Xenopus tropicalis: one gene and its partner. The protein of the gene in region 1 interacts with the protein of each later gene in a pairwise test. Links are inferred from orthologs where the notes say so. Each region holds a gene or a part of one and is shown in the gene's direction. Other genes may lie near its edges.

The links.
Region 2: the proteins of zbtb25 (region 1) and sephs1 interact in binary tests that used the Homo sapiens proteins (3 or more experiments, as listed by UniProt). The two-hybrid records come from large-scale screens. The link is inferred for Xenopus tropicalis from reciprocal best matches to the Homo sapiens genes ZBTB25 and SEPHS1.

Annotation. Positions count from the first base shown.
Region 1 is NC_030684.2:101,006,432-101,010,708, forward strand, and holds the start of zbtb25 (zinc finger and BTB domain-containing protein 25), read left to right. Parts: upstream 1-1,361; 5' UTR 1,362-1,400; coding exon 1,401-1,509; intron 1,510-3,196; coding exon 3,197-3,374; intron 3,375-4,277. UniProt on the Homo sapiens protein: May be involved in transcriptional regulation.
Region 2 is NC_030679.2:81,800,890-81,804,719, forward strand, and holds part of sephs1 (selenide, water dikinase 1), read left to right. Parts: intron 1-1,664; 5' UTR 1,665-1,731; coding exon 1,732-1,924; intron 1,925-3,830. UniProt on the Homo sapiens protein: Synthesizes selenophosphate from selenide and ATP.

The DNA of each region.
Region 1 (4,277 bases):
TCCATACTTCTGCTGAGCTGCAAGTTGGGGTGATATCACCCTTATTATAATACACACATTTGACAGACTGTTAAATATTGGGTATTGGAAAATAAGTTGTATCCAGGCCTGAATGGGTTAACATGTTTCAAATGTGCAAACTGACTTGCCACTATATACCTCTATACATACACTATCCCTCACATATACCATTGTTCCCTAAGTCTGGAATGTGGTTGATCGGAAACATATGGTCTTAAGGGTAATACAGTGGGGGAGGGTTTTCCAGCAGGGATATACTGTATATCAACAACAAAAGGCTGGTCTCACAGATATACAGACACACAAACCCTTACACACTCACACAAGCTCTCACTTACACACATTTACTCTAACACACATGCATACATTTTGACTATTTTATATGAATACATACATACTTTGTATTGTATCGGGAAGCTGTCAATATTGTTTGTGACTGGCTTAATTACTGGTAATTTGTATGTAACTTTTGTAACTCTTTTCCACACATTAAATATACTTTAAATATCACCTTGGCGAGTGGCGTTTGTTGACCATAGTACTTACACAAATATATTAGAGAAAGGATAATTATAACACAGACATGCAACAGAAAATGACTTAAGTGCCATGTTTAAGGGCAGTGGGAGCCAATCAGAAGCATATATTCCTGGTGCCTACGCAGAAGAACATGACACATTGTATTCTCTGTATTAGCTGTAAGTGTGTATAGCTTGGCCAGCAGCTGCATCAATTTCTTGCATATGGTGGACTGGGCTGTTTGAGGCAGCAAAACACTTTCTTTCCAGTTGTATAAATATATATCAACTGCATTCATTTTAGGGATTCTGATAGAAACCATTAACTATGCGGGACAACTTGGCTTCTCCAAACAATAAAATCCAGAAAATGTCTGACAAGCTGCACCTTACACGGAACTCTGGGCAGCGCCCCATCCATTAGTCTCCATTGTCCCAGCTTACGTAAGTCTCCACCCCAGCACGCCCATGTACCTATGGCCCGTCAATACTTTTCCAACCCTTAAAGTAACTTTGGCACCCCTTTGCTGGAGGTGAGTAGGTACGACTTGTCACTAATTTGAGATACAGCTGGAAACAGCTTGCACAGCCAAAAGTTGAAATACTAAATGTTATCGTAACCTATAGATACCGCAAGAGCCACAGTATACTCTCAGTTAGCCATAAGGAACGGTCACATGACTGCCCCCTTGATGGTACCATCGCGAGATTGTACGAGAGCCGGTGGCCACAAGCAGTTCTACAAGTACTGGGAGAAAGCTTGCTGTGCACGGTGAGCGAACGCGGGGAATCATGGGGGAGCGGGCTATGGTGGGAGGAGCTTAGGGAGTCGTTGGTCCCCGCCTACTCCTCGGTTTCATTATGAATGGTTGTGCTGTTGTGAGTTTTCTTAGTGGCGGCTTATTGAGCCGGCCCTGGCCGCAGTGCGGAAATGGCATTCCCACTATTCTGCACTTTCAATGGATTATAGGTCTGAGCTGGCGCTGCGCATATTGCGCATTTAATAAAATGAAAAGGGAGCGCAGCTACAAGATTGCTGGAAATACTTGGGCAGCATGTAGAGAAGACGCCGCCGTAACAGTGTCATTTAGCTGGTGGAATTAATGTGCCGTCTAACATTCTGACTTTTTTCAATAAAGTCGTCTTATACCAAGTTCTTGATTTAAAATATAAATTGAAAAATGTGGCTTAATTCAAGTGTTAAAATATTTTCCTTGCAAATTCTTATTGTTTCAGTCTTTCTGCTTTTTAATGATGGGACTTTTTTTTAAGTCAAAATCATATCATGTGACTGCTATTTTAGAAGGTGCATTTATAAACACTGGACAAATTTGTGCCAGGGCGTTAACCCAAGACTGCCAATCAGATGTTTGTTTTCAACCTGCAGCTGGCTAAAACGATAAACCATGATTGCTTGATGGATTACTACCCATGTGCTAATTTTGCCATGTTTATAAATGAGCCCCACATAGATATTTTACTAGTTATCAGAAATGTACAACCTGCAGACGCACAGTTTTGTACTTCAGATCTCTATTTCTTAAACCGTGAAGAATATGATCAGAAATCCCCTGAGGAGTAACCTTATAGGTGTATTATGTAGTGGTTCCAGCCTATGAAAAACTGCATTTGTGTTATATGTAATGAGAGAAATTCTTTTTATTTTACTCTGTATAAAAAGACCCCAGCCTGCCCCCCTTGATCTGCAGAACTGTAAAAACACCTATAATCTCTCTCACATGCTGTGGCAGAGTGCATTTCTGAGAAAAGCTGGAAGGAGATAAATTACAATTGAGACAGTCATTACTGGTAGCCTTGAGCACATAGGGGAATTTCTACCTGATCACTAAGGGCTAAACTGCACTAGCATATTTGATCAGATTTTGTGGGTCAGATTTAACCTGATCCAGCATGCAACAGCACAAGATTTTGTAGGATTCTAAAAAATCTGATCTCTCTAGAGTTTAATGTAATATCTGGTCAGATAAAGTTTTTTCTTTTGTTCATGTGTCTACATGTGTGTCATGGTCAATGTATTTCGAAGAGTAAAAAACAGTCTTTCCGATGCCATCAGTTTTTATCTTTTCAGATGCAGATGCATCATGCAGCGTTCCCTTCTGATTATAATTTGACTTGCACAACTTTATCCAACTTGTCAGATGCGTTCTGTTGATCCAACACTATCCAACAAAAGCGCTTGAAGAATTTAACCCTTATACTTATCAATAAATATTATATTATTTTTAGTTACAAATAAAAACTTTTCTTATTTTGATGCCAAGGTCCCTTATAAGTTATATGAGCACATCCTGAAACAACAAAGTTTTATAGAAAAATTATATTTTATATAGTTTACTTGAGGCCATGCCTTATTTATAATGCTTTTGAACATGCAGTGAATGCAATATTCACAAAAGCTTTGTATTACTGGGCGACAAAATTGTATGTGATGAAGGGCTTCCAAGAATTTGGGTGTTCATATTGTATTATATTTGTATTATGTCAACGGCTCCTCTGCTGTTCATAATGACCCTCTTTCTTTTAAATATTACTGCCTATTCCACATATTCTCATGCCCATGCATAAATACATTATAACTCCCATAAACGGTTCAAATATATGTACTGACCATACTTTTTTTATTGTTCTTTTTAAAGAAATTATGGATTCTTCTTGCCACAGTCAAGTCCTTCTCCAGCAGCTGAATATGCAGCGTGAGTTTGGATTTCTTTGTGACTGCACAGTTGCAATTGGAGATGTATATTTTAAAGCACACAGAGCAGTTCTTGCAGCATTTTCAAACTACTTCAAGATGATCTTCATTCACCAGTCCAGGTTTGTTATGACCTAAATATCATGACAGCTTATTCATTACGAGCAGAAAAACAACATTTGTTCAAATAAAATGCACTTTGGACTTGCCACATCCAGGGAGAGGCTTCTATAATGGAAAGGGTATTATTTAGTCACCTTGTACAGCCTTTATATTAGGGCCCATTACTAACCTTGGGTGTTTTCCTGTCTAGTTTACTGGAACAAATACACGGCACCATAAAATCTAAACTTAATATGCAAAACAAATCCTCAAATTACTTGCAGATAAGGATGGAGTGCAGTGTACAGGCCAATTTGTGATTTGTTATAGGAGCAGGCCTTATGTATGAAAGCTTTGTGTTTTTCATCATCCATGCCTCCCAATGTTATTGTGCAAGGATCCATTTGTGTATATGCAATAGGCTTCTTCTTTTTGGGAGATTTCTAGTGCAGGTACAGGAATAGCAATAGATAAGGGTCAGCCAAACTGAAAAGCAACTGAGTGGAGACATAAGGACTGCCAACACTTTAGCTACAGTATTTTGAGTCAGTTTTATGGAAATTGTGGAGCAGCCCTGTGTACATCTCCAAATTTATCTGCACAGGTTATAGGTCCAGTCAAATATAGGGTCCCAAAAATATTTTAGTAAGCTTAGCACTCCCTTGTCCAATATTCAATATAATTCACCTTCAAAATAAGATTAGAAAAGATTGAAACAAGGTCATTACTATAACCTTTTATATACAGGGCTATTGGTTATGTATCCAGGAATTGGTTCAGCCTGACCAATACATATCTGAAATCATGTGAGCATAGAAAAATTTAAAAATTACAGTTGATGTTGGATTATGCAGATCTTTGATATCTTGATCAAATCTGAATATGCAAATTATGGCCCAGATTTGGTTTGGCATTCAGATGAA
Region 2 (3,830 bases), on another chromosome or scaffold:
GAAATGCTTTCTGGATGTCTGATTCTGAGTAAGAGATCCCATATATCTATCAGCAGATGTTAGCCTACATTTTTCGTTAGTTTGTTGCTCACATGATTCATTGATTTGAGTGTGACGGCAATGAATGAATTTGTGCACAGACTTGCCTTGTGTAATTACCTTAAAATAGTAGACCTGCCCTTGTCAAACACTGGCTGCAAAATACTATCACTACATATTGTGTTACAGAAAGTTTTGTACAGAACTTATACCTTACTGCTGTCTTGGATGGCATAATTGATAAGCATAAAGATATATGGTCACCATAGACTGCATATTGTAATTGTTTACACTGATAGCTGAGTAAACATTAAATATTGTGTAACTGACAGATTTTTTTTCCATTATATTAATAGCTATTACCCATACTAACCCTTCCTTCCACTCATAGGGCCCTGACAGACAGGGAGATTAGTTGCACAAATCTCCCTTGTCGCGGGCGACTTAATCTCCCTGATTATGCCATCCCACCAGCTAGAATATAAATTGTCGGTGGGATGGCATACGCAGCGCGGCGTTTTGCCGAAAACATTGACGTTGCCTTGAGAGGAAACTTCTGTGATTTCGGCGCCGCGTATGCCATCCCACCGGCGATTTACATTCTAGCCGGTGGGATGGTGTATCGGGGAGATTAGTCGCCCGTGACAAGGGAGACTTGTTGCGCGCTGACTAATCTCCCCGTCTGCCACGGCCCTTAATGAACATGTAGGAAGGGTGGGTTAGTATGTAGGATAGCTATTAAAATAATATATTATAATATAACAGAAACCATTATTGTATCTGCTTTAACTGTATTTTTTGCATATTCTAGAACCGAAATATGTTGATTCATGTCACAGGTTTTCTTTATTAAATTTAATAGTTCTTGTTCAGTACCAAGCTAAAATATGCATTTGGGCTGTTAGAATTGTCCATAAAGTTCTGAGCTGCCCTCTGGTATTTGCAACCACTTCAAGCCAGAGTTTAGGTGCAAAAACTGGATCCTACTTACACGTTCTGTATTTGTAGCTGTTTCCAGCCTATGTATTCTGCTGTCTGTCCTAACTTAGAAAAATTAATTAAAAGTGACACAAGGCCAGAAGTGTCATTCTTCAGTGTCATAGCTGAAGTATATAAGTTCTCAATACCTCTGACTGATACAGCTGTAGAGTGACTGCTTCAACTGGGCTGGGCAACTAATTTACTTACAGTGGCACTAATGTCTCAAATCCAGAATGGCAGCTTACCACCACTTTCATCTAAATGTCTGAATTTCATAGACAATACTAAGTAAAAAATGAGTAGAAACCTCTTCGACCATCTTCACTGTCAGAAAGAAGAGAGCTCAGCAAAGAAATAGAGACAGAGCTTCACACTAGACTAGGAAGTAGCAGAGAGATCTTGAGTTGAGCTGCTTGTAATACAGAATGTGCATGAGAGTATTGTTCTGGGCACTATTTAGAATCATTTTAGATACAGGAAAAAAAGTTTACTTATTCTTTCAAAATAGGTATTGCAGCATAACTCAACATGATAACTATAAAGTTGGAGAAACTGCAGTTACTCTTTAAGATAACATTTTCTTTCCTATGTAATGTAGTTTATTTAACAGTTCAGCCTAATTTGTCTTTATTTTAATTGGCTAGGTTTGTTGGAGAGGCGATATTCATTCGATAAGCACAAGGGGGGGATTAAGCAATTCAGTCAAAAGCCATGTCTGTTCGGGAGTCTTTCAATCCAGAGAGCTATGAGCTTGATAAGAGCTTCCGCTTGACTCGCTTTGCAGAGCTGAAAGGCACTGGTTGCAAAGTTCCTCAAGATGTTTTGCAAAAACTACTGGAATCTTTGCAGGAGAATCACTTCCAGGAAGATGAACAGTTTCTAGGTGCAGTCATGCCAAGGCTTGGTGAGTATATGATATTTATTAGACCCCAAGCTAATAAGAAAGATACATCAATAATTTAATAAAATCATGTTCTCTTTTTCATTTTTATTGGGTTATGTCATACAGTCACAAAAGTAGGTTTCTGTGTGATGCTGTTTAGTTATTGCAGCGTATATTTTAGTTGTGAATTAATTTTCTCCAAGAGGAAGAGCAGACCACCCAGCTAAGACAACCTTAAATATTTTTCATTGGTGATATTTCCTTTTAAGGTTCTTTTAGAACTAAATAATATTTTTAAAAAATGCAATAAATTTTGATGTTTAACACAAGAAGAATCAGTCGGGTAATAAGAGAAACAGACTGATTCTAGATTAGGAAAGGGGTTAGGAATGGCTTGCACATGCGCCATAAAGTGAAAAGCCAAACTTTAACAAAAAAGCCAGTCTTTTCACTCTACTGTGCATGCACTGGCCCCGGGATTACCAAAAATAGATGAGAAAAGGAAAAGGATCGCTACCCTGGGCCACTGCAGTATTCTCCCAAGAGGAGCACCAACCCAGGGTATAAGGTAAGTGATTACAATCACTGGGGAGTTGACTAACATTTTGGTACACACCAGTTATTGTAGCTTCTTCTTTAATGTGGTAAATTGGTTGGTTAAATATTCGTTCTGGGAGTATAGTTTTCCTTCATGTGACCTGATTTTATTGAAAAGCACATTCTTAGTGGTGTTCTATGCAGTGGCTATTGTTGCTTGATTGGATAGAATTATTGACAGTTTAACTAAAACATCAATTTTGGAAGAGCCAAGGTGGCAATAAATTGCTTTATCAAAGGGATATTGTGTTAGCCAGACCTGTGTTCTTTCAGGTGTTTTCACAGTGATGCAAAGTAAAGATTACTTTTAAAATTGATCTTACAAAGAAACAGAATATGTTGGCCTTCTTCCAAGTAGTTAGTGTACTCTAAGGATTATAGAACCTGTTTGCCCATTTGTTGCTTGTAAAATACATAGCCACGATCATTTGGGATAGGGATGTGCATACAAACAGCTACAGATCCCACATCCCACAATTCATTAAACTGGTGCAAGAATTTGTGTAGTGTAGTTTGAATCATCTAAAGCAGCACTGTACAAAGTGTTTATTTTAAAATAATCTGATCATTTTAAATTGATGACATCATACAAAAAATATATGCTACCTAAGGCAAATATTGCTTGATAGACGTATTTAGTACATGCAGCCTTCAGTGAATTTTTTGCGTGGACTCAATATTTTTCCTTTTGTACCAAAGAAATATTTCTGGAATAAGTATATTTACAAGTACTAGGTACAGTTTATCCAGAACTTTTCAAGGGTTGAGATCCATGGGTAGATAGTGTTTTGTTTGCTTTTGTTTTTGCTAAAAGTATAACTATAATATAAATGACATGGACATTATTTATATTCTGCTTGATCCCACGTTCTGTTTATTTCTATTGGATTTTTAGAAGCATATTTATCAAATGGTGAGTTCTAACTTTCACTCATTGATAAATACACTTCTAAAAATCCCATAGGAATGAATAGAACGTGGGTGAGTTTTTTTTGTATTAAGCTCTAAACTCACATTTTGATAAATCTGCCCCTTCAAAAACTTAATTTCCTCACAGAAATACACTGCAACAAGCAGTCTGACAGCAAATGAGAAGCTACAGCTCATCTAATTTCCACATCTGCTGATGAACCAACTGTTTGCCTTAAACAAGCTTTTCATTTTGAACAGGGTAATTGCAATTTAAGAGAACTTGTCAGTCACTAAAAAGGAAATATGGATGTATTAGCATATCTCCCTCCCTCAGCCTAGTGTTACCTTCCCTTACTGAGCCAGCACTTCTGGGATGGGAGCGCCAGTGTTTCAGACAGAGCAAGTAATACTGGGCTGG